4 linked regions of the Oreochromis niloticus genome follow. The protein of the gene in region 4 interacts with the protein of the main gene of each other region in a pairwise test. Links are inferred from orthologs where the notes say so. Each region holds a gene or a part of one and is shown on either strand. Other genes may lie near its edges. The genes, in order: csrnp1b, ssna1, obi1 and tceanc.

Region 1 (7,925 bases), on a different chromosome or scaffold from region 4:
GCTCTAAATGGAGAATGGATGTGATCGGACAGCCGAGCCAGAGAGGGAGCGCAGCATGTTTTCAGCGTGCGCTAAATTATGCATCACTGTCATTCCATCAACCGCACACAGGCAGGCAGATAAAGGACGCATCCACCGAGGTGCTCCCCAGCCAGTTGTCACAGACTTGGAAAGATAAATCTCTGGCGAGGAGATTTGTCACCAGAAGCACTACACAGCTCAAGTCAGATGCATAACTATGTCAGTTGAATAAGATTATCTTGATACATCCAGCTACGGGGCTGTTTGTACGACTTTAGAATTTCAATTCATTTTTATTTTAAATCTGCAGACAGCCCCTCAAACCCTTTTATAAAGGAGTATTAAATTATTTGAGAAGGATGTAAAAGAGTTTGAATTACTTCTAAAAGGTAAAATGCCACGCTAAATCTTATCATCCTAACTTATTGGAAAGCTTTAGTTTAATCAGAATCACAAAAAAAAAAGAACCGACTCATAAAAGTTTTCTTATACACATCTCTGGTTTTGCGCAGATATCAACTTTCACCCTGTTTGAACTGCTCCCGTCTGCCCCGCAGCCATCAGGACAAGTCACAGTTGACTTTGCCCCCTCGCACCGCCTGTCCAGCCCCTTTGCAGCTGATAACCGTGTGGGTGGGAGCGACAAGTTGCACTAATCTTAGCCAGCCGGGAGCATTTACATGGCACACTGACAGCCTTGTGCAGTGTCTGAATGACTGACTGAGTGCTCATAAAATGTGATAATGATGAGCTTGGGAGCCTTCCCATGTGTGTGGAACCGTGTCTGGGCAGGATAGCCCCTGCAGGCTTTCAAGGTACTGCACCTCTCACTTCCAGTTCTGACACCGAGAGGACGGGAGATAATTGATCAAAGCCGTCAAGGTGACGATGGGCTGGATTCCAGCTCCTGCACAGCTGGGGGAAACTGGCTCATTTCATATGAAGTCAGCTGTTAGTCAGAAGCGCTCCACCTGCTGGAACAATGCAGGGAGCGCTCCCGCTTTCTCCTCTATAAGCCTGTTGTTCTCACCGAAGCCCCAAAGCTTGCTGTGACTGTGCCACAGAAACATTCTGTTCCTCTGCCTTGACCCGTGCACAGCGCGATTCCAAAAAGGAGAGGTAGTGGGAAGAAGGAGGGAGGACTGTACAAAACAAATAAATAATGTCATGTCTCCAAGCCACAGGAATTCCATTCTGGCAGCACTGCTCCCGCAGTAATAGTGGAAGAAGAACACAGGCTCTATCTAACCCAGATGCGTTTTCTACTGCTAACCACTGGAAAGTCCTACTCCCATTAGACACTTGAGCCAGCCACCTTTCCTAGCCACACCTGACAGGGTATTAACTTGCACGTGGACTTCACATGCCCCAGGCTGCCATTAATCTGTTATGCAGACCAAACCTGAATGTCCAGGTGATGCCTGCAGAGGACTGTTTACTCATACTGTTTTGGGTTGCTTTACTCCTGCTTTAAAGGGAAGGCAAAAACAGGTTTTTCCACTCTTTTCCTCGAATGGCATTCACTGTGCAGACAAAATGACATGCAGCTTTGATTTTTCTGTAACACACTTGCAAATATCAGAAACTGTGCCAAGTGCACAGCAGCAAACTTTGAGAAAACCTTTTTAGAATAACAGTCCACAAGCAGAAAACATGCAGCTTTTGGGTGTGTGTTTGGGTGGAGGGAGGGGGAGTGGCTGCGGGTTCAGGGGTCATGCTCCAGTCTGGGACACTTGCTGTATGGAATGCTGAGAGGACAAAGCAGATGGGAGCTCTCGGCTGCTGTGTTGGAGACTGTCAGCAGGCTCCATGTTACCCCCTCCACACACACACACACACTAAAACACACACCCACCCCCACTCCACCCTCGTCTCCAGGCACAAAAGCGTGGGGCCATCCTGCGTGACCAAAATGAAGCAGGCACAGAGAACCTTGTCTGAACCCAGCATGCGGCTGCTGCCTCTCCCAGCTGGGGAGACAGATACTAAAAGTGTGCATGAGCTTCCTGAGGTTGTGAAACATGCACTGCAGTGCACAGGAAGTGGCCATCCAGATTATCTGTGCTGTGTCTGACAGCTGCAGGCACCACAAGGCAAACTGAATGCAGGATCACACGATGGAGATGAGGCAGTTAGGAGGTGGGGATGTTATTCGCTGTGCTGCGAATTCCTTCAAATCATTTGAGAGGATTTTGGAGTGCATTGGCAGTTTTAATGAGAAGGCAGCAAACAGGTCAATTGTTATTTTAAAAGAGGGACGTGGGTGCAAAATGTGTGCTATAAATGGAAAATGATGTTAAATAAGCGCAGACAAAGACTTATTTAACACATCTGAACCCTCCTTAGACATTAAGTGCACAGCACCAAGTGCTGTATTCCTTCTCAGTAAACAAAGGATCATTCAGCTCTCTGCAGCCTAATTCCAGAAAACATGATTCCAAAAATGATCCGGGTGAGGTCGCGCTAGAGACGATTAAATCGACTCAGTCGCTTTATCGAAAACAGACACTGTCCAAAGATTAAATAAATAAATAAGAGCCCCAGAGGGCAGTGTTACACCTGGAAAAAAATAATAACATTAATAAATCAAGACCTTTGGATGAGAATAACAATAAAAAAAACAAACCACATTAACATTCGTTTCTCTTTATAGTACTTAAATTAATTAGAAACTTCAGTCATTTACGCATGTAAAAAAAAAAAAAAAAAAAATTAAAAAAAAAGATCCACATGCAGTGATGGAAAACTGATCAAACAATGAAGGAGCTCCACATTCCTTGTCCACACCTGGCTAAAAGCCTGAACTGTTACCTGCATGTGGCAAATCGCTAAAAATCCACCCCGAAAAAAATAATAATAATTAAAAACCTATAATTATATCGGGTCGAACAGGCACGTCGTACGAGTCCAGCCGGCTCTCTCCCCCAGCTGACCCGATCATGCCTCATGATTAATGCTAATTCTAATGACAGCAGCCCGTCAGCTGTGTGCTCAGATGTAGTGCCTTCAGGAGTCGCTCTAGTTACAAGAGGCGCACCAGCACCGCCGAGGTGAACAAGAACAACTCCGCACGGGCTGAATACACAAAGCCGACCTCATCAACAGTTCAGATCACCTAAATGAATCCACAGCCGAAAACCCACAGCGGTGGGAAGCACGGCTTTCCCGGCGTGAGCCGTGAAGTTTGTAAAACGCCGATTAATCAGCGATCAATCTAAAACCAAATAATAAATCAATCACCAAGTGAATGAAGCGGGTCGTGGAATCTCGCGTTTAACAAGAAAATCAGTTAAATGACTTTAATTCTTTCCCGTTACCGTGAGTGCCAGCACCCGTGTGCTGCCATCAGAAAACAATTCATTAAAACTCAACTTTAACTAGCGGGGGCCACCACAGCCGCGTCCATTTCCAATAAAGCGTCAGGCAAAGTGTTCAAAAAGAAATCAAGCGAATAAAACCACACCAGAGATGACACGCACAGACGCACAGAGAACACAAACCGCACAGGGCATTTAAACGACTCCTGACACACGAGAATAAACAGTCAAACTATCTGGCTTTCCCCCCTCCTTCCCTCCGCTGAGGTTGAACGCGTAAATTACGGTGTTCAATAACCCAGCAGCGAAACTCCCGATTCTGTTTGTACTCACCACCAATTCAAGTATCCGATCACCATCAGTCACCGAATAGTCACGCTGGGTAAAACAGCCGACGGGTGTTAACGGTGGAAGTAATCCAAATGGCACGAATAAACGTAGCGCTTATCCCCCGCGTATACACAGCCTTTTTTGAAAATTCTCTCCTATTGTCTGTGCCTCTCTGCCGCACGGGGTCCGTACCAGCTGAAGCGCTTCCCTTGTCTGTAGCAGACTGCCGAGAAGCGCAGGCTTTTTCGTCAGTGGAAAACTCCCTCCTGGCGTCTAGTCTGACGCAGGCGGTGACACAAGGAGGCTGCCCACGCCGCTTCCTGCCCGTCCTCCTGTGTTTGGTTTGAGTCCTTACTACCTGCGTGAGAAAACTCAGGTGGTCACTGATAATAATTATAATAATAATGATAATAATAATAATAATAATAATAATAATAGTAATGATAATAATAATAGCCTGGGAGTAGTAGTTATAGTAATAGATTGATGCAAATAAACACAATAAAATACATTTTTCTTCTTTTTACCCCCCCTTTTTTTTAATACATACTCACTATTAAATACTCTAAAGGCAGTTATAGGAATCCCCAGGTTCCTCTCTATATTAGCAGCTGATGAGCAGTCACAAACTGTGTGATCACCAGGCAGATAAAAGTCTTGTTATTGTAACGTGGGTGGTGCCTAAATGTTGTATACGGCGTGGCTTATTTCCAGTTAAAGGAAAACACTGAGTAAGCTGCATGAAATTCTGACTCAGTTTCTTTTTACATGGAACGCAAAAGTGAAGTAGGCTTTAGAGGAAACGCCACCTCTTATCATAACCAAGCAATCACAACTACTGTCCTGGAATGATTTCTCTTCTTTTTTTTAAAAAAATCACATGGTGAAAACAGTTTAGTTAACTACGTTGGTTAACAAAGTAACTTGAGTAGCTTTGTGTTTATTTAGGGCAATGAGATGAGTTTGAAAGCCCCAGAAACTGCATGTTCATCCTGAGTAATGGTTTCACGGCTTTCTTTGAGGGAGGCTGAGCTCACATTTTCTGTTTTTCTTTTTTTGTTAACCTCTTGGATGTAAGCGCTGACAACCTGTCTTGTACTTAAACACAATGACCTTACATGGATGTGTTATTTTTAAAGTTGGGTTAAATAAGGAGGCTGAAACCACTTTAGATCTGTCAGCAAACCACATGGGTACATGTATCAGTTAGCTTACCACAAACTTTATCATTATTAATCCTTAAAAACAACTATGTTATTGTATGTTAGTGTATGTGGGATTATTGTCTGGACACTTCAAGTTCTCAGAATTACTTCTCCAAAATTATGAAATGAAAAACAAAAAAGAACAATAATTGTTTTTGGCACTTGTACACTAGTAGTATATATATGCTTTTATTTTGAAAAGAAATAGGTGTTTTTATTATTACATTTTCATGGCAGTAGTTTCCTCATAATTTCCATATTGTTTTCCTTTCTTCTTCCCTCGAGTCTTTTTCAGTGCAATAGTTTCCTCTAAGCTTCATTCGTACTTTCCTTCCTTCTTTCATTTGTTTATTTTTGGGGTGATAGTTTCCTCTTAATTTCAGTCTTACTTTCCTTCCTCCTTTCATTTGTTTACTTTTTAGGACCATAGTTTTCTCTGAATTTTGTTTTCTTTCTTGCTCTCAGTTAAATAAAACAAACTGTGTAACAGCAGAATGGCCCCACTTAAATACATTTAACTTACCAGACAACTCAGTAAATTACTTCTTTTGCTGACCCTGTCTTTTGACCCCAGGGATCAAGACTGTATCATCAACTCTTTTACGTCATGTCTTTTAGTTGTGGGATTACAACACAACTCTATGTGTCGTAATCACTGATGGGATTAATTTGCAACCCTTTTCTCATGAAGCAGGAGCGTCACACACCCTCCCCACCCCAGCTGATAAAGTCCTCTCAGGTATTTGCGACTCTAGCTGCCCACGGCGAGCACGCTGAGGTGGTTTGCTTTCATTCTCAGCTGGACCTGAATCCTGAGACAAAGTGTTCTGCCAATGTCAATACAGGTGCTCGACTCAGATATTTGGGGAGAGGTCTCCGAAAGCTGTGTACATAGACCTATGCAAATTGTGTCCTCCTTAAAGAAGACCCTTTTCTCACTAGCTGCTGTGCCTGAGGGACTCACTTAGAGCCCCACCCTGAAAGCAAAAAACAGGCACTTCAAGCCGAATGGCAGCAGAAACAGTCCCTCCGCAGCTCTTGCTGAAAACACAGAGTTTCTCTATTCAAATTAGAATAAGTGGTGCTAAAATAACACCCAACAAATGCAAACACGTAGATTTACTTGACGTCGTTTGCTTTGGAGGCAGCAGTTTCACCGGAGCCGTAAATTACCACTGGAACAGGACTGAATGGCTTTGTGATAATAAACATGGTAAAAACCACGGATAACTGCTCATCACGAAGCTTGTTTGTAAAAACAAACAAAAAAAGGCATGCGCAGTTACAATAAAAGTGAATAAATATCAGACAGAAATATCAGGCACCTTTAACTTACATCTTTCTAAAGCACAAGGTTAAGTAACTGAGGATGTAAATAAACATTTAATAGTGCCATCTCTATTGTTATCGCTGACCGGATTGCATGCTTTATAGTAATCATTGTTTTTGTTTTCACACGTCAAAGGTGTGTAATCGAGTAAGGTGAGTGTGTCTGCATGCGTGTGTGGCACAGCGACGCTCCGGTAGAGAGCCTGGGAGTCTGTATGTCCAGACATACTCCACCCAATTAGTTTCCCTGTCGCCCTGCAGCTCTTTAAGACACAACAATGAACTGTCCACAGTCCAGAGGAAGAAACTGACAGTCACATGAGCAGAGGCAGCAGTCACCATTACCGAGGAATTCTGCTTTCTTTGTTATAAAATACCTAATAATTACCAACATTCACAATTAGCCCTCTGTTTGACAAGGCTCGGAGAGCTTGGAGACACGCTCGCTCAGCCACTTCTGCGGTTTGGTTTAGCCTAATTATAGTAGCAGTGCTGGCAAACTTCAGATAACTGACACAGGTTCAACAATGTTGTTCCGACAGACAAGCATTATGCAACAGGCAAATCTGGGTCATATAAAAAGTTTTAGTTTGCAAGTGTTGGGTCCTTCTGCTCTTTGATCAAGTGTCCTTCACAAAGTTCACCTGAGGTGAACAGAATTTTTTTATGTCCCCCTTTGAAGTTCCCTGTCAGGCTCATCAATTCCCTTTTTGATAAACAAGAAAAAGTTCCAAGGAACAGTGCGACTCACACATGTTTACTCTCTCTTTTAAGAAAAAGAGTTGTGTGTGTGTGTGTGTGTGTGTGTAGGCTGGGGGGATGGTAGCGGTAGTGCCAAAGCCACTGTGAATCAGGCCTGAATACATTAAGGCCACTCTCTTTAAAAGTGTGCCAAAGAGTTCATGGTGGAAGACGCCCCTCCAAGAACACAATAATGGGCTTCAATGCTTTCCATCTGCAGAGGGAGAAAGGACTGTGACTGCACGTGCTGTGTGGAGTGGGCTCAACAATGTATCAATTTATGACCATCAGAGGCGTCATAAAACTAGCTGTTAGATGAAGGGCAAGTTCATGGGAGCCAAATGCCAAACTCATCAATAAGTACTCAAACCAAAAATCAACACCAGAGACAGCGAGAGATTTGCACAGCTTGTCCTGAAAGCCTGGAAATAAGCATGAATTCGCAACTACGTGGAAGTTCAGAAGCGCTCCCCGGAGGAGCGAAAGAGCAGATGAGATGAGTCTGACGGTGCTGCTGTGGTGGTCAGACCAGGCAGACGGGCACAATGGGGCTCGGGGAAGGTGGGGTTGGAGGGGGTGAGCTGATTGATGGCTCCAGCTGTCCCAGAGGAGAGGAATACAAGCAGACAGCTGGTCACCTGTAGCCCCAGACATGAGTGTGATAGAGGCACATGGCATTGTGTTTCACTGCAGAGGGCAACCAGTGCAAGAGTTCAGGGCGCAGTTCATCACAGCTATGAAAACAAGCGGCAGGGCTACAGGGGATGAGACCTAAGTAGTGAAAGGAACTCTCGAGGAAGCAGACTTTGCCAACAAAAGCCTGCAAGAGGCAAACTTATTGGATTTCAAGCAGAAGGCGCAATTCGCCACCTAAGTGTTTAGTTAATAAGATTACTTTAAAAACCTGAGCAGAAAGCACACCTCATCATCTTCTAGGGACAATACAGCCCTCTAAATCATCCAGTTTTGTACACTTGGACAT
Region 2 (7,753 bases), on a different chromosome or scaffold from region 4:
ACCTGCCACTGCTGGTGGTCTCTGGAAAATGCCAATTAAGCTGAATGAGAACCAAGGAGTCCTGGCCTATGCCTCTCACTCAACAAGCAAAACAAACAAATTGGAGTTTTAACACAAAAAAAATGTTAGGAAATACATTTATTGAATCCAGAAACTTACAACAAAGGTTTAAATATATTAAAAATTAGTCCAAAGTGGGGAATAAACTGCCTCAGAAGTCACAGTCAGGTGAGGTCAGGTGCACAGTTTTGCTCCTGGCCTTCAGTGCTCCGTCCTCCGAGGCTCCGTGGCTTTACTGAGGTTTCCTGCTTCCTGCTTTAGGACGCTCAGGAGAGACTGGGAGCTCTCCAATATCTGCAGGAGTTAAAACGAAAACAAAACAACATGAACTAACTTGTGCAGAAACTCAGAGGAAGTGTGGAGTGCACTTTAGAAGCAATTAAAGAAGGGGTCCAGGCTTGGCTGACTTGTTGTTTTTTAATCAGAGCAGCTCGGGAGTGTTTGTTTACAGTGATTAAGTGAGAGCACAAAGGGAGTTCAGCGTCAGCAGGTGGGATCTTACTGACATCCAGTACAGCAGTCAAAAGCTTCTGTGGCCATACCCAACTTTTAATTAGTTCTTGAATCAACGCTTGAGACTAAGAGGTTTTCTGGTTGATGCTGACAGTCCAACAAACAGCTATTGTTTTAGCATCTTATAACCACTGATCCATTACTCATGCACTAATAAAAGTATCCCACCCCCACCCCCGCCTCTCCTTCCTCCGAACTTCTGCAGCTGGTATTACCCAGCAAACTTGGGTGAGAAGCAGTTGTGGTATGAGGCTGTTGTGCCAAAAATTACTTGCTATTTTGAGTTAGAAAGAACATTTCTGTCACAAGGTAGAAGCAGCCATGGTGCGACTACATAAGATCCTTTATATTACAAAGACCCTACAATCAGACGACCTCCTATCAGCAAGCACTTGGCAACAGTGGGAAGGAAAAACTCCCTTTTAACGGGAAGAAACCTCCGTATAATGCAAAATAATATATAATACAGAACATCAGTCAACATGGAAATTCTTGCTGGACTGTAATGATACTTTTTTGCTGTTATGCAGAGCTCCGTTTGTTCTCCATTCACCATGCACCTGTTATGTGATATTGATTAACTGTGCAGAAGAGCCACATGAATTTTCAATTTTTTATTTTATTTTCCCTTTAAATACCTGTGTAAACAAACAGTCAGCATATGAAAACCACTGCAGGCTCGGTCATTGACGCACCTTGGTGTATGCAGCCTCCGTCTCGGCGATGGTGCGGTCAAAGGTGGCGCGTGCGGCGAGTCTCTGGGTCAGGCTCTCATTGACTCGGCTCAGCTTCTCCGAGAGGACACGGATGTCATGCTGCAGCCGCTCCTTTTCCTCTTCCTCTTGCTTGATCTGTCGGTTCAGCTCATCCCGCTTCGAGCAAAGCTCCTCGATACCTGATCGGGAGGGAAAGGTGGGATTAAACTAGAGCCTCAGTAGATCTCCTCGGGACTCAGACAGATGATTTCTGCCATAATTACGCAGCCCAAACACAGACATGGATATAGTAAACAGAAAACAAGGGAAACCTTCACAGTGATCTGAAATTAAACACACTTATTAGGTAAACAACAGTAAAATACTGGTCTTAAATTTCATTTGTGTGGGTGAAATGGCTTAGCCACTTGCAGGTTAGTCGCTATCAATACCAAGACTAAAAAAGTAGGATTAGTGCTTCCCTAATTCCAGCAGACCAGAAACAGATTAACCAACACCTGACAAGTGACAAGCTTCAGCTTCACTGGGCTTTTATCTTCTAATACTTTTGAGAGAAGAAGAAAAAGTGTCACATGGACATACAGCTAAACTGCAGCAAGCACTCAGAGCTGATACCTGTTAACACCATTCGCGCCAGTGCGGAGTGCAAAGGGTTAAAGGTGATCTGAGGAGGTTAATCAGATTATTAGGCGAGGTGCAGCATCACAGGTTAACCTCTCAAAAAAGCACTTATTTTCAGTTTTAGACAAAATTACAGGCAGCAAACTTTGCTTTAACACAAGGGTGTCAACATTGCAGGCTGGGGGCCAGAACCGGCTCCCCAAAGGATCAACTCCGGCCCGCAGAATAGCTCATTAAAATAAAACCAATATGACAAGACAAACCAGCTGAATAAAAATGCTACAAATTACACATAAGGAGGACACAATAAACTTTAACACAAGAAGGAAATCCGAGTATTGTTCTCTGGTGACAGTGCAGGCTACAATATGCTTGGTCTACATATTCTCTTGTGAAATTAAAGCGCGATAGTCATTTAATAGGCAAAACCAAGAGGAAAATATGCGTAATTCATATATTAACCAGTAATTATACTATAATTTAAATTTAAACCGCTAACACTGTTATGCTAATCAGTCTAATGTGTTATTGACAGTAAATAGGCTCACTCACATTTGACCAGCTCGTTGTTGTAGGTCTGCAGAGCTGCAGCTTGTTGGGTCATGTCGAATTTTAGGTCAACCTTCACCGGATTATATCTGACTTTAAACGCGAGGTACTCGGTCGGCTAGCTCGTCATCTATCCCTAGGACCTAAACAAGCCGGGGTGGGCCAAATATTCAGCACTGTTTATTCAGCAAACCTTATGAAAGCAGAGCCCGTACATGGCGAGTTTCCCAGACAACTCAAACCCAGGAGGAACTACCGGACACCCAACCAGAGACGACAACTTGGAAGAGAGTCCACTTCCTGTTAAAAACATTGTGTGGAAATGAACTGGAGTTTAGAAGGTTGCCAGCAGATGGCGCACACGACCAAGACCTTAGGGAATAGGAGTAATTATAACGAAACAGCTAAAGCAATCGTTTGCAAATGCTTCTACATAAACAGCCAAAATGTTATTTTAGTTTTGTTCTCCAAGGCAATAATAATGAATTCGAAATTATATAATATCGACTCGTTACTGGAACCATCTCATGAGCGCCCCCTATCAAACCAGAAGTCGATAGAGTGAGAGTTCTTATATTAAGAGATATCTGACCTTCTTCTCCACTGTGTTTAACACCGATAATGTCCGGCTTGCGCCCTCTGGCGGATAACAAAACCTACTATTAAATTAAGTTGCTGTTAAGGGTTATCCAGACATCCAGTACTAGCACAATCCAGAGTACACATCTGGAGAAAGTAAAAATATTGGCTGCTGTCAGTGCTACCCCACAGCCTCCTAGCAGATATACCTGTGGTATCAGTTTCAAAATACTGCATCACCTGAAGTGATCACACTTACAAGATTTTCATAAAACTTGACCACTGACCTTGAGTAGATCTTTAGTAGATCTATGGTATAAATTTAAAACTGCTATGTCGTCTAGTTCTCATGTTTTCGGATTCACGACGTTTGGGAGATTTCTCAGCGGCTGCTACTGAGAAAGAAGCTATATTACTGAGTACATGACAGACAGGAAGCAGTATGTGAGGGTGTCCAGTGCTCTGTCTGACTGGTGCAGCACAGGAAAAGAAAAAAATCCTCTATAGCGATGTGCGAGACTGATAAAGTCAAACAGAAAATGATTATTTAAAGTTATTGCTGCTAAAGGTGGCCCTACAAGTCACTGAATCAGTGTTTTTCACACACTGCTTCTGCATTTTAGGTTTTATTAAATAAATGATGACATGTTGTAACATTTCACACGTTACTGTTCAACTCAGGTTTTATTTTAATAATTTTAGATTTGCAGTTTGCCTACCAGTCTGAAATTGGCGTCGAATTAGGGTGGATGACGCTGTCATGTACCTGTTGCAGCAATCCCTCACATACCACAGTATGTGAGGCTTCATGACTGTGTGTCCGACGTGGTAACCTGCAGCACGCGGGGCACCGCAGGGCACGGTTTTCTCACCCTTCTTGTTCAGCCTGTAAACTTCTGACTTCTATTATAATTCAGACCATTGCCACCTACAAAAGTTCTCCGATGTTATGGCCATCATCAGATGCGTATCAGATGGAAACGATCAGAAATACAGGAGGGTCATCAGTGACTTTGTCGGCTGGTGTGAGACCAATGCTCTCCAAATCAACGCTAGCAAGATGAAGGAGATGTACATAGACTTCAGGAGGAAGTCACCCCCTACAACACTGGTGAACATCCAGGGAAAAGACATTGAGACAGTGGACTCATACAAGTACCTGTGTGTTAACCTCAACAACAAACTGGACTGGACTACAAATACAGACGGCCTGTATAAAAAGGGCCAGAGTCAACTCCACCTGCTGAGGAGATTTTATGACACTGTGGTAGTATCCACCTTTTTCTATGCAGTGGCCTGCTGGGGGAGTGGATGCACAAACAGGGACAGGAGGAGCAGGATTGGCAAACTGGTGCGGAGGTCTAGCTCTGTGCTGGGATGTCCTCTGGAGTCTGTGGAGGAGGATGCTAGTAAAGCTGACATCCATCATGAACAACCCACATCACCCTCTGCATGAGTCTGGGAGTGCGCTGAGCAGCTCCTTTAGTCAGAGACTGAAACACCCTCACTGCAGGAAGGAGTGCTTTTGCAGATCATTCATCCCGACAGCAGTTAGACTCCATAACTCCTCCTCATGATGTCATGATCATGCATCTTATATATGTATGGACGTGTGCATGTATATGTGTATGTATATATATATATATATGTGTATATTTAGTGTGTATGGATGTATGTGTATTTCTATTTCTTGACTTTATATTCTTGGTATACTCTGCATTCTTCTGCTATTGGTACCTGAGCTGTGGTAATGCACAAATTTCCCCACCGTGGGATCAATAAAGTCTTATCTTATCTGATTTTTTAAAGTTTTAAATTAGCTTTGCAACTTTTTAAATAAAATTTCTGACTTTGTTCTCATAACTTTGAGAGCTTTTCTTGTGTTTTATCCTATTGACAGTTTTTCCTCATACATTTTTCAATTTGTCCTTCTTTGCCCCTTGTTTTGTCCTTCATAGCCTCTAAGAGTCTAAGATAAGATAACCTTTATTAGTCCCACAAGTGGGAAAATTTGTTTTGTTAAAGCAGAAAGTGGACAGTGCAAAGTTACAGTAGCAAAAATTAAGAAAACACACTGGAATAGGATATGATAATAAGAATAAGATACTGTACACAATAGAATAGAATAAAATGCTATATACAACAGAATAAAGTACAATGTTGTCAGAAAAAGAGAATTGCGCTTAGTGTTATTGCACATGTGTGGATGTGTGTGTTTGGTCAGCTGCAAAGTCTTTGTTGTGGAGTACAGAAACCTTTCAAAAGCAGAATGTTTAATAAGCATGATTTGTACGTTTTATTCCTAGAAATTTGCAACTTTTCCCTTGTTTTCCCCAAATTTAGTAAATTTGCCATTTTTTCCTAGTAAATGTGTGACTTTGTATTGTAATTCTTTCTTTGTTAATTTATTTTCTAAATTTTTGTTCTAAATTTTGGTAACCGTTTCCATTTTGTCTTCGTAAATATTTAATTAACAAAATTTCCATCTAAATTTGCAAAAAAAATTAGTTGTTGTTCTCAGAAATTTGAGAGCTTTTCCTTGTATATTTCCAAATTTTGTTCTGGGAAATTTGCCGTTTTTCCCCCATAAATTGTTCGACTTGCCCTCGTTAGCCCCTCATTTTGTCCTTCGTAGCCGTTGATATCCCGTCTTAGTACAGAAGCTCTTCAAAAGCAGCCTTCAGGTGTGGCTTTTGTAACTCAGTGCGCGCATCAATAAATGTGACGTAATTCCACGGTGGGCGGAGTTTACGTCCAGGCACCATGGCTTCGGTTGGGACCGAGGTGAGTGTGTGAGCTTTTTCTGCGCCAAGCTTGTTTTACTTTTGCCCTGTTTTCCGCTCCTCGGAAAATATGTTTTGTCCCGACGGGTGGACCACCCCCCTCAGAGCGGCCGAGCCGCCGGTGTCGAACTGTCGGTTCGCGTTAAATTGGCCACTGCCAGCCTTGGAGTCTTTTGCTTTTGTGCTGGACCGGAGGGCAACTGAATGTGCAGGAAGATGCTGCGCCCCGGAACATGAATACTCGGCGCAGGCACGTTGTTCGCTTTTTGCCGGGGTCTGATTATACATGGTGCCGGGTTGTGTTACTGTCCTGCCTGTGTCCAGCTTTAGCGGTTCAAAATAAACCACATACACACCTTAAACTTGCCTTTTTAGCCAATATTCTCACAGTTCTTGCTGCACTGTTTGTCGCCGGCTCACTGGTGGCTAATTTGTACACTGTTTTGTAGCTAGCTGTTAGCAGCGATGCTAGCTAACAGCAGAATGCTCACTTTTAAATTCCTAAAAAAAACCCGGATTCCTGCGATTGTCCCCTTTACACCGATCGGTCTCCATTTATTCCCTAACAGTGCGGCTAAACGCTCGCCTGATAATGCTATCTCCACGGTGGTGTGCTGTAACTGATGCAGTCAAATGAAGCCAGCACTGGCAGAGCTGCAACAGCCTCCCATTGCATACATATGGCGCCAGATCCGGATTCACCTTTTCACTCATTATTTATCTTTTTTAACCTTTTAATTATGATTTGAATTATTCTTCGAGTGAAGGCTGATCTGTGTTGGATATTGTCACGGCTCTCAGTGCTGCTGGCTGTTTTGTAGGTGCATTGATTTGATTTGCTTTTACAGGAAGGTTTTATTGGTGAAGGTGGATCATTTCAGCTGATCGGCATGTGCAAAGCTGCCACAGCTTCATTCTCTGGTGCTTCATTTCTTTTTAGTAGATATGGTCGATATGGAATCCTTGCTTTGTTCGGCAGAGGTCGCTCCAACAGTGCTGAGAGTATCTCGAGGTGTAGCAGAGAAAGGTGTAGGGCATTGAGCTGTGCAGCCACTTCCGTTTACGCGCATAGCTGGTGTGTGAGTGACTGTTTGTTTGTTATTTGATGCATTTGCCCTCAAACGGCCACTTCACCTATTTTAAAAAGGAGGAAAATGAGGAAATATGCGCGCCAGTCTGATGCTTTTAAGCTGATAATTTCAGGCACCATGTTGGAGTACAGTCGGTGGAATTGGAAGGCTTTATTTTTCATGTGATAGAAATGATATGAATGAAATGTTGGACCTTTCATTTTAAAGATTAAAAGACACATTGGTTATCAGATTGGTTATCAACAGGCAACCTGAATGAATGTTTGAATAAATGAACCAAACTAAATCAATTTTACACCCACTTCCAGAGTCACAATCTAAACCCAGAATCTTATTTGTATCACCAACTTTAAGCATTATCCCTGTTTGAGTTTTAAAACTGCACCAGTTTAGGGTGGGACTATAGTTTACGTGTTCGCGAGACCAACAGGGTCTGTGTGGTTCCCTGTGATATAAATTTCATCATCAGATGGTGAGTGTAGTGTGAGGGTTTGTGGCTGGCTGGCTGTTTTGTTTTGTTTTGTTTTTGTTTTTTTTGCAACCACATGCACTTGACTTCAGGTGGACTTTCAAGCCATACAACAAAGAGGACTACTTGGCTGTTGGGTTTCTGTGTCTGCATCATAGTGTAAGTGAGGCATTAGTATCTGTAGCATAGAGTAAATACTCACCGAAACATCACGTCTGGTTGCTCAAGCCATACTTTGGTTTCGTTTGGGCTTGTTGTGCAAATTTTTGTAAACCAGCATAGTTGGGTTAAAGACATGAGCGTTAGATGATTATATTGATGCAGCAGTATTAAAAATGGTGATAGGTTTGTGGTGACACCACTGTGTGCCGC
Region 3 (7,112 bases), on a different chromosome or scaffold from region 4:
AGAGAAAAGCAGAACACTACATGCCGAGTGAGAGAGGGAGAGTGGGGAGGCAGTCTAGGCAGGGGGTATCAGGCTAATTAAAGCAAGCATTTGTCAGAGATTAAGCCTTAAACAGAAAAGGTCATCTGAGCACCAGAGCACACTGTTTCGCTGCTGTGCTCTTAGGGCAGTCTAAACCTTTCCCAGCTAAATGGTAAAGATGCTATTTGCCAGAGATGGGGGAGGGGATCGAGATCCCGACCAGTGACAAGAATGACACTTGGGTCATTGGTTCTTCACTGTCCATTACACATGCTGGTCAAATATGGCAATCGGTGTCATTTAGGGATGAAAAATAAGTGCTGGGACAAGATCAATAGATGCAGCCGTCTGTGCCGGCTGTGATTAATTGACTGTCACCAATTAATGACTGGCCTGTTGCAAAGCAAAGCAATCGCAGTGGGACAATGGGTATTTCTTTCATTTTGGCCTGATATTGGTTATTTTAGGACAAGTTGCCCTGAAGTAAATTCATTAACCACTTCTTTTACAGTTTTGCAGGTTTGCTGTGGCACACTGGAAAGTGCCTCTGACAGCATCTTGTGTGTAAAGCGTACTTTGAAGTTGTTTTCAATACTGGGATTAATATAGAATTATATGAAAGCTTCCACATAACATCCACACTGTTTTTTTTTTCAGTCCAATCGGATACAGTTACTAAAAATATTTGAATATGTTCCTGCTGCTTCTCTTTCAGAAGTCTGTATACATTAAAATATTCTCATTGTTTAGGGATAATGAAGAGTAACATTGAATAATGGCATTTAAATTGATTCTACACTGATGTCGCTCTCTAACTGATTTAACTTAAACATATTCATCACGTACATTTACTCCAAATGTTCTCTGGTGGTATGAAAAATGAGTGAGAACACATGGAAGCCTGTGATCCACTTAATAGACCACTAAAAACAATCAAACAAGTACTGGTGATGTTTTCAAACTGGGATCAGTGTACAAGGTTATTTTGAAGTCAGTCAATTCTAATCATATTAGATCTTGAGAAGATGTCCTGGCTTAAGATACAATGTGCACAGGACATGTTGGTTTAGATATGAGTAATGGCTTTGGGGGGCTAAGCTGTGGGGCAGATGTAATTTGAAATACTTGTAGTGGAAATTATGCTAATATTCGGTCACTCTGTATTGTTATTTATAAATTAGATCATTTAGGCTTCACAAAATATTGCAATGCAATTGTTTTCTAACTGAATGAATGAGCTATTTGTTGCATCTATTTAAGAGATTTTCAATTTGCCGTTAGTTTCTGTCATTCATTTTTTTCCTTTTTTGTACGTTACTGTGAATTATCATTTTATAAAAACTATAAAGATGGAAATCCGAAGCTAAATATCTTGTTGTTACTGGGAGTGTATTGACCTATAGTGACCGATTTTCTTAATAATTTCTACCTAGTAAGTCATTCTTTACTTCAAGTTTTGCCAGAAGTTCATTGTGTAGTGAGTTTACTAGAGAACAGCTATATTTGTTTACAGTGTAACCCAAATAGAAAGCGTTTGTGCTGCTGTGTATCTGAAAAGTTAATATTTTATTATTACATTGTTTTTTACTACACTGAACCACTGAAGCCTCTTTCAGGACTTTATTTTCGAGGTTCATTTTTAAAATAATTTACCAGTATAATCTGTGACATGCAAATTACACCCAAAATTTCAGCATTCCCCTGGATGAAAGGTAGCTTTATAGATTTTTATAGGGAATACAGCTGCCTTGCCCATCAAATCCAGCAGTGTATTCTGTGAAGGAAAATGTTGTAGTTTGCATCATATGTGCACGTGGTCATATTTGCATTGCAAAATGCAGTGATGTGCAACTTTCCCAAATACAACATAGTAAACTTGAAAATAGGAAATCATGTTTGCAAACTATATTTGGAAAAATATTGATATGTTAAATTGGTTTTGCTTTCCCAACAAATTATTAATGATAACCCCAATGTATTAATTCAGACAGAAGACCTATATTATGTGAAAAAAGTTAATTATTGTTGTTGTAATCATCAGTGGATCCTCAACACATACAAGCTTGCTTAAATGAGCTCTGTATTTGGAGCACCAATAATCAATGCATTTCTGTTAGGTCTAAAGCCATTAGGACTCATTGCTGGAGGTCTCCACAGTGAGTTCTTACAAACATTTGTAAAAACATGTTCTGTAATATGTTTAAAAAAATACATTTTGCATTTTTTTCATGGTTTCCATGATGTCAAACTAAAGAAGGAATTAATAAAGTACAACCTTAAAAAAATTCTTTAAACAAACTGTTATGTGAAGTAAAGATACTGTATCAAGGCACCAGCAGATTGCTCTCAACTTAGCAATAGGCCTCATGGCTCTAATGGGGAACATATTTTAAAAAGTGTAAATAATGCATTTAATAAGACCTGAAACTAGTGATCGAAAGTGTTTACTGGGGTCACAGACATGAGAACCCAAACTGTCATTTTCCCACAGACTTTAGTACAACTGGACTTCGTTTTAAAACCTGATGAGAGGTCTCCTTATTGCCACAACAAAGAACACTGGTTTAAGGCTATTAAACCATGGTTTCATCTTTCAGGCCAGGAAGGCACATCCATCTTGTATACACAGCTGTGAAAACGCATTTGCCACTTTCCTGATTTCTTTTTATTTCTTTTTGTTACTGAACAGATTTTAATATCAGACAAATATAACCTGAGTAAAAAATAAAAAATCATAGTTTTTAAACTATGACTTTATTTATTAAGGAAAAAAAAAATTATCCAAACTTATCTAGCTCTGTGTGAAAAAGTATTTCCCCCTGAAACCTAACAACTGATTGTGTCACCCTTGGCGGCTAGAACTGCAATTAAGCCTCTGCAATAGCTGTAAATGAGGCTTTCACATCACTGTGGAGGAATTTTGGCCCACTCTTCTTTGCAGAATTATTTTAATTCAAACACACTGGAGGGTTTTCAAGCATGAAAGACCTGTCAAAGCATCTCAATCTGATTTGGGTCCAGACTTTTATTAGCTCACTCCAAACCTTCTTTTAAAGCTATTCAGAGATCAATCTGCTGGTTGCCTTTTAGATCACTGTCCAAGTGAACTTGAGCTTCAGGGTGTGAACTGATGGACATTCTCTTTGTAGTTTTTTTGATAGAGAGCCGAATTCATGGTTCCATCAATGGAACTGGAAGCAGTCCCAGACCATGACACTACCACCACCATGTCAGGCAGACTGTTGATATGATGTTCTCTTTATGAAATGCTGTGTTAGTTTTATGCCACAATTAATGGCATAAGACCTTTCAAACTTCCAACTGTTGTCTTGTCAGTTCAAATATTATCCCAGATGTCTTGGGGATCATCAAGATGTTTTTGGATACTGTGAGATGAGCCTTTGTCTGAGCCTTTATGGTCAACTTTGTCAGACAGGTTTCATTTAAGTGATGTATTTAACAGGTCTGGCAGCATTCAGGCCTGGCAGTGGCTAGTGAAACTGAACTCAAACATGTTTCAAAAAAATGGTTAATCACAGTTACTTTATGATAGCGGGGAGTTAATTTTTCACACAGTGGCAAGTAGGTTTGGATAGCTTTTTTCCCTTAATAACTCATCAATTAAAACTGCATTTTGTATTAACTCAGTTTATGTTTGTCTGATATTAAAACCTCTCTGATAATCTAAACATGTAAGGATGACAAATATGCAAAATAAAGTCAGGAGAAGGAAAATACTTAAAAAAATGTTTACAGTATGTATATACAATACAGAATGAACCACAGACAGCTGTAATGTCTGGTTTTATCGCCATGACCAATTATTGGAATATTGTGCTACATTTAATAAAATTATTGTATGCAGCACAGCATCACAAGCAAAGAAGCAAAGTTAGTTACAAGCTACGTTGTGAACATTGTTACTACACAATCAACATGCCACTGTTTTACACAGCAGCTGGCAGGGAATAAACAAAGATATGAAAGTGGACAGTCCACATGACTTCTAACGCTTTTCTATTTCCGGTTTAAAATAACTGGCAAGTGATAAAGCTACTGTGCCCCGGTTTAGCCGTGACTAGAATACATTAAAGCAAGATACTTGTGTATGTCTTCTTCACTGTGAAACCCAGTGAAGAAGACATAATTTTAATATTATAAAATTACGGGTGAAGGTCAACTGTTACCTGTTTCGCGAAGAACCGCCTTTTGACCCCTGTGGCTTTCCGTAGCTGTGCGGCTCGGCGCGCGACGCAGCGGTTTGGTGGGAGATTTGTACCTCTTCAGGGAAGTGAGCTATATGACCTGTACGTTCATGAAAAATGGCTCTGAACTACCAGGCATCTACCCTCTCGCTCACTCTGCCAATTTCCTGCCAGATATGCCTCGGAAAGGTAAGTGTCGTTCGATTTTTTTAACCCCCTCGTTAGCGCCTTTCGTTTGTTAAACAAACTCAGCAAACTGTTTCCTACATGAGTTAATCGGAGGTGACCGTTGTTTGTTGTGTTTGGTTGTGCTAGTGGGTTAATTTGCTCGTGTTTTTCTCGGTGCAGGTTAGGCAGCCGGTTATTTGTTCCAACCACCACGTGTTCTGTTCATCCTGCATGGAAATGTGGTTAAAGAAAGCTAACCAGTGTCCCACCTGCAGAGTCCCCATCACAGCAGAGAACCCCTGCAGGGAAATCATCGGTGAGTAGTTGCGGGCAAACAAAGGAAAGCAGGCTTGAAGCAGAAGAGAAGAGGTGATCTGCCTGCCTGCAGCATCTCACAGCTGAGTCTTCTTTTCATTGTGCTCCCAACAAAGCACGGCTTCAAGTTTTGCAGGCAACTTTCTATGAGCCGTGACGTTTGTTTTGTTAGTAATATCCCCAAGTTGACGATTTCAGTTAATAAAGCAGGTTGGATCATATTTAGTGAGATTGCTTGTTGCAGCTTTAGAGTAAGTCAGCATAAAAATGACTGGTTTATGAACTCTTGTGTTGTTTGCAGTGTTTAAGCGTTTGACAGGGGCTGGGGGGGCCATCCTTTCCAAATGCTTATTGGAAAACTGTTGATTTTCTTACTGCAGGCTTGTCTTCAGTCTGTAAAACTGTATTCCCTTATCCACAAAACAAACTGGCTACAGTTTATGCGGGCAAAGGTAGCATGAGGTGATATATCTAAGACAGTTGTACTGAAAAATAAATGTTTTACGTTTCATTTGAACTTGTGTGATGCATATTTGAATATATGATTTTTATGTATTTAGTTTTAATCATGCAACCCTGTTGTTTTCGAGCATTTTCTCTCTATTTTTGTTGGCAGCAGATCAGTTTGGGTTTTGTTGTAACAATACCAGACAGTACTCACTGACATACAGACATATAGCTAAGCTTAGCCCCGAAAAATTGATTCAGACTTGATTGTTTCAGTCATTCACGGATCTGTTTCTTGCAAAACAACCTTTTTGTTGACTTTTTATTGCAGTTGTTTCACCTGTACTGCTGGAATTTTAATATCAGTCACTGGCCACTTGATTAGATTCACTTGTTGATGCATATATCCAATCAGTCAGTCACATGAGAGCAACACAATCCATTTAGACTCACAGATATGGTCAAGCGAACCTGGTGAAGTTCAAATAGAGCATCAGAATGGGGAAGAAATGTAATTTAAGTGACTTTAAATGTGACATGGTTGCTGGGAGTTTCCCACGCAAACATCTCTAGGGTTTATAGAGAATGGTCTGAAAAACAGAAAATATCCAGTGAGTGACAGTTCCCTGGGTGAAAATGCCATAATGATGCAAGAGATCAGATGAAAATTACCAGACTGCTTAGAGTTGACAAGAAAGCAATAGTAACTCAAATAACCACCTGCTACAACTAAGGTATGAAGAAGAGCATCTCTGAATGCACAAGTCCCACCTTGAAACGGATGAAACACCAGGTGCCGCTCCTATCAGCTGTGAACAAGAAACTGAAGCAACAATTGATATGGGCTCACCACAGCGGGACAGCAGAAGACTGGGAAATTGTTGGCCGAGTCTCGAGTCTTCTGCTTTGATATTTAGATGGTAGGGTCAGATTTTGGTGAAAACAACATGAATAGATCCATCCTGCCTTGAATAAACTGTTTTCAGGCTGTTGTTGGTGTAAATGCACAGAGGATATTTTCGTGGCACACTTTGACTCCCCTAGTATCAGCTGAGAATTGTTTAAGCATCACAGCCTTACCTGAGTGTTTTTGCTGATAAGTGCACCACTTTGAGTACTCACAGAGTACTCATCTTCTGGTGGCTGCTTTCAGCAGGATAACACACCATATCATAAAGCTCAGACTGATTTCTCAAACATGACAATGAGTTCACTGTACTTAAATGGCCTTCACAGTCTCCAGATCTTAATCCAGTAGAGCACCTTTGGGAAGTGGTGGAATGGGAGATTAACATTATGGATGTTCAGTTAACAAACCTGCAGCAACTGTGTAATGCTATCATGTCAACATGGACCAAAATCTCAGAGGAATATTTCCAGCACCTTGTTGAAACTATACCATAAAGACGTGAGACAGGAACGTGTGACAAGATTAAAATAAAGAGGGAAATCATTCCCTAACTTTAACCCCATTTGGTCTTGTTTTGTTGTTTGTTTGGTAAATACATTTTAAAAACAAACAATGTTTGTGCTAAAAAGAGAAAATGTGACCAAATTACTAAAAGGAATGTTACAAATGATGGTCTTCTCTTGTGAAAATCAGTCACAATTTCCCCATGCACTTTAAATTTGCCTGCATTTTAAATGGCAGCACCTCAAGCCTTGAATGTTATTCAGTTTTACGCTTGCCTCTTTATTACTGTAATGTTGTGCTAAGGTAACAACGAAGCCACATAAAAGCCAGCTGATGTTACTTGGAACATTACTTAAATGTGTTTTGTGGTCTATTGTGTTAATCATTTACTGTACTTGTGTGCTTGTGTTACAGGAGGAACAAATGAGGGTGATCACAGTGATAGTCCTTCTGTGAGAAAATGTCTCAGAAAAACCAGAGGGGAATTACTTTTACGCGAGTATGAGGTATTGGTTTTACATGCTCTGTTATGTTTAGTATGC
Region 4 (8,006 bases):
CAGTCCAATGAGTGCTGTCAAACAAATCCTTTTTATGCTGTAAAGATAAACTCCCTTCTGTACCCAATCATAATCCCTAATGAGGAGTTAATAGGCCTTAGCTTTGTTAAGACATTGTAGAACCTACAGCACCACCTATTAAAATATTAAAATGATTGTTCTTTAGAGTAATTCCGTACAATCATTCCACCCTGAAAACAGAACAGCTCAAAGAAATCATTAAAAGCCCAAAACTAGCATCACAGTTATGCCCTTGATGAGTGGATGTAAACTTCTCACCACAGCTGTATGTGGCTGCAGAGCATCAATCTGACAGGGCACGTCACTAAAATGCTCCTTATCTACTTAAAAGATAAGGAGCACGTGAGAGGGGATGGAATACAGACAAATGCACCAGCGTCGAGATACCAAACACGATAGAAAGATATGGGGGTTTTTTTCATATTTGGCCATTTTACCTTCGGCCTGCTGCAAAAATCAGAAAAGATGCAATAGGCCAGGACGTGACATAAATAATGACGCAGGAAGAACAGCTGAGGATAAAAATAAGTCATTTTCTCTGTAATATCTTCACACACAAAAAAAGACTGCTTCATGTGACATCACAGTGACGTGTATGTGAGTCATTGTGCCACGCTGGCTGGAGCACCATGGGATATCCGCCCCTCCGGCTGCTAGGGAGGGCAGATTACTGGCTCACATGCTCGGAGTTCTTCAGGGGTCACATGTCTCATCTGCTGGATTCAGTTTGCTACAAATGAATGGGATATTGTAGAGCAGAGGCATGTTTTAAAGAATTCCCCCACCGTGTTAATACTCAGAAATACTGACAATAAGTGCAAAATAATGCATTTTTTTCATAAAACTTATAAAATTAAACATTAGCGAAGCCAGTGGTCAAGGCATTAATGGATCTTTAGATCAGTAATGTAAGAGAGAGCGGCCAGTAAAAGCAGTTAAATGAGCTACTGTAAGTAGAAATAAAATGAAGGGCTATTACAGAGAGTGGAGACACAGGAAATGATTCAGCGGGAAGAAGATGACGACAGCTACTTCTTGAAAATCCATGGTTTCAGTCGGAGACTGCAATGACTTGGCATTTCAGCCGGTAAAGATACAGTTTAGGCTTTCAGCTGTGGGTTTTAGTGGTCAATGCATGAAAGACAAAGCACAAATCCTATGGGAAAAAATCTGGTTTAAACCACAAGTATGCACTTCATCCTGCAGGAAAGTTTCCACTCTGCATCCCATGTGACCAATCCTCCTGTTTCAGAGCTGAGTTTATAACACTCAAAACATTTAACTGGTCACAGGAAAGCCTTTATAATACCAAATTGTGAACTAGGGGTGAAACTTGGAAAACCAACTCAAACAAGTGCAATTTTACAGTGGGCAGAACAGCTGAAACAACCAATCAACTAAATGGCTGGAAATTCATCTGCAACAATGGCAGTTTAAGTCAATTTATTATGTAAATGTGTAAAGAAAAGCCTTCAAAATGTATTATTTCAAAACTAGCAACACTGAGTATCTGAGCTAGGAATCCAAGAAGGTCATGTTCCAGATTTCTGAACATTTTTAACTCCACAGATGTCAAAAAATAAGAAAGTAAATCATTAATGAAAGTTCTACACAGCATGATTCTTGTGCAAAATGGTTAAAAATCTGTTATTTTCATTATCAGTTAACCTGCTCTTAGCTTTCTTAGTCATGTATGTTATCCATGTGGATTCAGAGGCAGACCCAGCTGCTGTGGTACCACTGCTGGCCACACCCGCTGCAGGTCACAAAGGTCATTGCATCCTCATCTGGGCCGCCCTGCCTCACCCACGCAGGCAAGAACAGAACCCCTCTGGACACCTGCGTCACCCTACAGTCTGACCCCCCGCATCTTTTGCATCGAATCTTCTCCGTCCGCGTCCCCTCTATCCCTTGAGGAAGCTGCCTCTCACTCACGCCCTGGGAGGAGTACTCCTCCCTCAGCTGCCGCAGCTCTGCGCTGGCCATATCCTCCGCAGACATGCGGGCGAAGGCCTCGGGGGACAGGGAGCCACTCAGGAGGCCCTGATGCAGGTGGCCGCTTTTGGGATTCCTCAAGTTGGCCACCTTGCTCCTCACACAGGCTTTATATTTGACCTGGTTGTGATTATGAAGTTCGTGGACGTGCCGCTCGATGTCTCGGGCCAACTCAGCAGCCTTGTCCTGATCGGGGGCAGAGGGGCAGAGGGCAGCAAGGAGGAGCTGCACACATTTGGTTCTCACGTTATCTGGAGATGCAGCAGAAGTATGAGCTTTGGGTCCAGGTTTAGCCTGCATAGATGATGGTTCTCCTGCAGCATTCCCCTCTCCACCATCACATGTTTGGGCAGAAACCGCACCACCCACGGCTTCTTTTGGTGAAGAAACACTGGCAGGGAGCTCAGGATCCTCGCTCTCCTCTGTGCACTTCACCCCTTGCCTGTCCTTCGTGTACTGTCTCTTCCACTCGGACAGCAAGCTCTTGACTGTCTTCTTCACGCTGTCATCAGTGCAGGTTTTCAGGAGCCTGTAGAGCACTTTGACGATGTCAGTTGTTTCCAGCTGTTCCGCTGTGACGTGAGACTTCTGGAGGTCACCAAGGAGGGTCATGATGTTCCCATAGCTTCTGTCTGCACTGAATTTCTCTATCTGAAGAGCACAGCGGAGCATCTCCTTTGGATCCATTGTGGCTGCAAAGACACAAAAGTAAAGATGAAACAATGAATGTTTTTTTTCTTAATGTGGTGATGTTTGCCCCTCACTGCAAAATGAAGCACTGCTCTCCTGAAAGCACAGCAGTATGTACCACTTAGCAACACATTAAAATAGACTTTTGCACATGTTTACCTGAGTTCCTTCATGGTTTGCAGTTTCTTCCTGCTAACAGTGAGCCTAGCAAACGTCTACATGGGAGCAGCCATGTTGAATGTGTCTCCACGGGAGAAAAATGCCAGCATTCACCTCTAGATGGAGCTGTAGCCTCACAAAGTCAATGTGTGCATGAGGGTAGTGCAGGTAGTTTCCCATCACTTTCTTAAAATGGAACTATATATATGTATGTATGCAATCTTTTTTCCCCTAAAAACAGGGATTAATGCAACATTACAAATGAAACCTCTTTGCAATGAAAGTGTCACCATGAATCCCCGAATCAGTACACTGCGGCCTGTTTAATCTGAAAGTATCCCAGCAGAGCTTTCCAGCTGTGCTGTCAGTCTGTGCTTTATCTAAAATGTACTGTGGGATTAGTGCTTTATGTGAGGATTTAGGTGTGTGCTTTTGGATTTTCCAGGTTACTCCCACGGCCAAACTTCTGTCTATTTTAACGCCTCTTTCCTGTTTTTCCCACAATAACAAATGTGGATGAACCTGTGCTAAACCACACGAGGAGCTGAGGGTGTCGTCCAGACAAAGTGTTCGATTTCAAATGTGTGTTGCATTAATGGCTATTATTATAGCCTTATGTTCCTTCTTTTCAGCTCCTGAGATCGAGATGAAAGATATTTGGTTCAGCGTGCAGAAACGTGTAATCCTCGCATCCAAGCAGCCAAATGACCTCCAGACAGGAATTCAGTGGAACTGATCTCGTGACAAGATGAGGCAAGTCTTTCAGCTGTGCTGCAATTACATGTTTTGATGGAAGAAGATGAATGAGTGTTTAGGATAATTCGTGGTTGTGGAGCTAAGACCAGAAAAGTTCCAGCGGACGCACCAGTTCGCAGGTAGTTGTTAGTATTTCGTGGAAGCCTGGAACATGGTTTGATGTAATCACACCATCGACGGTGACGTGAATGAGAGAAAAATGCAGGCTTAATTGCATGGCTGAAAGGTTGATTATGTATTAATTGGATGTTGTCTGAATGGGAGCATTGACAAAACAATTCAATAATACCTTTAGGGCTTTATGGACTGTACGGAAATTGCTGAAGTGATGAAGGAGGCTGATTTAGTCTGTGTTTGCCTATTTTGTTGCTTTATTCCCTTTTTCCCAACAGCACGGCACATTCATCATCATTTTTTGTTTCCAAACATGCAGCACTGACTCACCCGAACACACTCATACTAACTACTAAAATAATATAACGAAAAGGAGTTAGTGCTTTCCATTTCTATGGTGAGCAAAGAAGACCAAATGTAAACTCACCAACTGTATTGCTAGTACTGGTTTGGACCCTCTTGGCTTCAGAACAGCCTCAGTTCTGTGTTGCATAGATTCAACAAGCTGCTGGAAACATTCCTTAGAGTTTTTGATCCATATCGACATGATAGCATCATCCATTTGTTGGCTGCACATGGCTCCATGATGTGAATCTTCTGTTCCACCACATCTCATTGGTGCTGCATCGCGCTGGGATCTCATGACTGTGAAGGATATTTGTGACACAGTGTTTCATCCTGCTGGAAGCAGCCAGCAGAAGATGGTACACTGTGGTCATGACAGCATGAACATGGTCAGCAACAACACTCAAGTAGACTGTGGTGTTTAAATAAGGCTCAGTTGGTACTCAAGGGTCGAAAGGCATGCCAAGAAAACATTCCCTACACCGTTACACCAACACCAGCAGCCTGAACTGAGGCTGGATGTTGTTTATGCTAAATTCTAAATGCTGGAGCAGAAATGTTTGGTGAACTTGTGAAAATCTTAGCCTCAGTTTTCTGTTCTTAGCTGGCAGGAGTGGCGCCGGGTGTGGTCTACTGCTGTTGTAGCCTTTTTTTTTACCTTTACATTCAGAGATGCTCATTACAACCTTGGTTGTCATCACAACCTTGCTTGTAATGGGTGGTTATTTTAGTTACTGTTGCCTTTCGATCAGGTCAAAGCAGTCTGGTCTTTCTGACCTCAGCCATCAGCAAGGCATCTGAATGCACAACACATCAAACCTTGAAGTAACAGAAGACCACACCCAGGGTCGCTGAGGCTACAATTTACAAGAGCTCACCAAAATTGGACATTAGAAGATTGAAAAAACATTGACTGGTTTGTCTCAATTTCTAATGCAACATTCAGATAGTAGTACACATTTGGAGTAAATAACATAAAAGCATGGATCCTGCAGGCTTGTACAACCAGTCGGTGGTGTAATGGTGTGGGGGATATTGTAGAGTAGATTATAGCGACTTATCTTGCAACATAAGGCTAAAGGTAAGCATAAAAATAAATGATGTCAAAAGGAGTTCCTTTACACAAGAAACAAAGCACGAAACCCTCTACATTTTCAAAATCTTAATTATAAGGACAAATATTTTTGTACAGCCCCTTATAAGTTACTCGAGAATATATGTATTTTTCTGTAAGTATTATTTTCACATCTGAGGTGCTGGTTTCAACAAATTTGGCGATAGCTGCAGTGGCAGAAGTTGTAAAGCCTTCCAAGACTCCTTTGACTGTGAATTGCATTCATAAATTAAAGATAAACAGAAACCACGAGCTGCCTTTATATCAAAATGAGCTTTTTATTCACTGAAGCACGTTTAATAGTCCTGCCAAATCATATATGTTATTATTCATACACAAAAGCCCAGATGAAATGTAATTACATGAACAGGGCGCCATTATGCAACTGCTGGTGTGACATCACCCTCCTGATCTTACATTAAAATGTGCTTTCAAGATTCATGCAGCTGGGGCCGATAGCAGTGGAGGCCTCAAGGGAAAATTGATTCGGTGTCTCTTCGCATAATAGCTTCTGGTTCTCAAGTTCAAAGAGCTGCTTTTAAAACCCCAAATGGAAGTTAAAGCTTCCAGGAGGCTTTTAGCAGCGTTAATGTTTAACTTTTCTTCTCTGGCTTGAGGAGTTTTCTTTGAGCGTGTGAGGAAATGTGCTGTGAGGGATATTTGAGGTTCTGTAAGCGAGCTTTCTTTTGTTAAGTGGATTTTGTGAACTAAAACTCCAACCTTTCACACATGTAGAAGGGTCCTGAGTGTTGACCCCCACCGAGGTGTGGATTGAGATGGGTGGGGTCCGGCTGAGCCATCAGTGAACACATGTAAAACTCCTCTTTCTGTGGTTAAATACATTAAACCTGCTGAATTTTGAACCCTCAAACAAACACGAGTGATTTCCATCACAAGAGTCACAAGACACCTTGCATCTTATCAAGTCATTTCAGTGCGGCCTGCTTGCACTTGTGCACTTTCTTATCACTGGGAGTGGAATTTTACCAGCACGCAGCTGCTGTGACAGCCGAGCGCCGAGAGGTGGCGCTCTCTGCACTGCGCTGGTTTGAACAGAGCCTATGAGGAAGTGGAGTCCTGCTGTATCACATCCTGCTTTTGTTGTCCCCGCCTTCTCGATGGCGTGTACGCTTGAGCACACACACACACACATACGCGCACACACTACCCCGCCCTGAGCTTGAGAAATTCTGAGGAGGAGCATGGCCTTCTTGTTAGAGTGATCAGCTTTTTCATGGTCAGACATTCATGACAACATGGTAAGTCCCTGCACCCGCAACCACGACCTGAAAATACCCCCCAACGCTGCCAAGTGCATGTGTGAAAGACAACAAAGTGAAAAGGTGTTATAAGAAATCATCAGTCACATGGTGCTGAGTTACAACAGCCAGTGTCAGTGCAATAATAAGCCTTGTTCTTAACAGGGTGAGAGAAGGTTAGAAAACAGGAAGAGCTACACATATTTGCTTTTTTTTTTTTGGCAGAAGTCTGATCTGACTTTTCGGTGGGGGAAGAGGAAATGTTTTTTTGTTTTCTTCCCATTTTTGACATTCCAAAGGAAAAAAATGTGAATTTTACTGCAAACAGCAACATTTTTATTGATTGTATCCTATTTGTTTAAAGTGAAACAAGTTTTATCATGTAATGCTCTATAATTAGAGTGCTTTGCCTTTCAGATGTTATTAAATATGATGAAAATGATGTGTTTTATTTATTTATGTGATCTCTCTCTGTAAAAACACATGCGACAGAGACTGTGGGGTTTTTTATGCTGTGAGAGCAAAATCAACTCTTATTTTGTATCTATGCTTAATGCTCTTGACAGGTCATGTGTGTGTGTGTGTGTGTGTGTGTGTGTGTGTGTGTGTGTGTGTGTGTGTGTGTGTGTGTGTGTGTGTGTGTGTGCATGTGTTGAGAGGGACTTGTCTGGCAGTGCCCTACCCATCATACCCTTCCCATCCGTCATTACCTTGAGGGTAATCACTGATGACTGGACTGGATTCTGTTTGTTTTCTCTTTGCTTCTGCCTCAGGGTTCATTCTGTTTTGTCTGAAGCTCTGCAAAGATTTTTTTGGTGCTTCTGGACTTTCTATTTGTGTGTGTCTGTGTGGGAGGAGGAGGAGTAAGGGGTGGGGGTGGGGGTGGGGGGGTTAATAAATGTTATAAAGAGGCAAAGTATAGACAAAATGTCATGTTTTGGGTTTTTTTTAGCTTGTGCTTATTTGGAGTCCTGCAAACCCAGAGGCAGGAAATGAGCCTCCCCAAACATGAAACCGCTAAGAGCGCAGTTGCTGTGTCTTCTCTTGCTGATCATAATATTTTTCCTATTTGATTAAGAAAAAAAACTCTGTTCTATCAGAAGCGATGAGGAAGTGCAGACGATTGTGACTTGTTTGTGCTTTGCTCAACAGCGGAGTCAAAGCAGAATCACGAGACTCACTCTAACCCTTTTCTTGATTATGGTGAAACAATGCTGTGCAAGGTGCTTTGTAAGCAACTCAATTTCATAGCGCCTCTGGGGATGTGACGCAGCACTTGATAGCAGTTCAAAGCAAACTTGGGAGCTCAAAGTGTACACTCTGAAATAGTTTCATTAAATTGTTTCCTTTTGTATAACTGCCTCTGTTAACCCTTTGTACCAAAGAGAAAATTTTAGCATTGATTTTGCTATTCTGATCCTCTGAGGGTTCAACCATATGTTTCCTCCCCTGCACAAATAATTATCCACATTGATTCATCACATTTGTTTTCCCATGAACCCCCCTTCCTCTCTCTCCCACACACACACACCAACTGGACGCATGCTCTGCCT

The links.
Region 1: the proteins of tceanc (region 4) and csrnp1b interact in binary tests that used the Homo sapiens proteins (3 or more experiments, as listed by UniProt). The two-hybrid records come from large-scale screens. The link is inferred for Oreochromis niloticus from reciprocal best matches to the Homo sapiens genes TCEANC and CSRNP1.
Region 2: the proteins of tceanc (region 4) and ssna1 interact in binary tests that used the Homo sapiens proteins (3 or more experiments, as listed by UniProt). The two-hybrid records come from large-scale screens. The link is inferred for Oreochromis niloticus from reciprocal best matches to the Homo sapiens genes TCEANC and SSNA1.
Region 3: the proteins of tceanc (region 4) and obi1 interact in binary tests that used the Homo sapiens proteins (3 or more experiments, as listed by UniProt). The two-hybrid records come from large-scale screens. The link is inferred for Oreochromis niloticus from reciprocal best matches to the Homo sapiens genes TCEANC and OBI1.

What each region holds. Positions count from the first base shown.
Region 1 is NC_031974.2:17,921,582-17,929,506, forward strand, and holds the start of csrnp1b (cysteine/serine-rich nuclear protein 1b), read right to left. Parts: upstream 3,018-7,925; 5' UTR 2,839-3,017; coding exon 2,833-2,838; intron 1-2,832. UniProt on the Homo sapiens protein: Binds to the consensus sequence 5'-AGAGTG-3' and has transcriptional activator activity. May have a tumor-suppressor function. May play a role in apoptosis.
Region 2 is NC_031972.2:31,110,602-31,118,354, reverse strand, and holds ssna1 (microtubule nucleation factor SSNA1), read right to left. Parts: upstream 3,003-7,753; 5' UTR 2,515-3,002; coding exon 2,463-2,514; intron 1,469-2,462; coding exon 1,269-1,468; intron 355-1,268; coding exon 262-354; 3' UTR 121-261; downstream 1-120. UniProt on the Homo sapiens protein: Microtubule-binding protein which stabilizes dynamic microtubules by slowing growth and shrinkage at both plus and minus ends and serves as a sensor of microtubule damage, protecting microtubules from the microtubule-severing enzyme SPAST.
Region 3 is NC_031965.2:14,861,717-14,868,828, forward strand, and holds the start of obi1 (RING finger protein 219), read left to right. Parts: upstream 1-4,100; 5' UTR 4,101-4,343; coding exon 4,344-4,415; intron 4,416-4,574; coding exon 4,575-4,710; intron 4,711-6,984; coding exon 6,985-7,076; intron 7,077-7,112. UniProt on the Homo sapiens protein: E3 ubiquitin ligase essential for DNA replication origin activation during S phase.
Region 4 is NC_031986.2:14,111,404-14,119,409, forward strand, and holds the start of tceanc (transcription elongation factor A N-terminal and central domain-containing protein), read right to left. Parts: upstream 3,013-8,006; 5' UTR 2,866-3,012; intron 2,709-2,865; 5' UTR 2,704-2,708; coding exon 1,732-2,703; 3' UTR 1-1,731.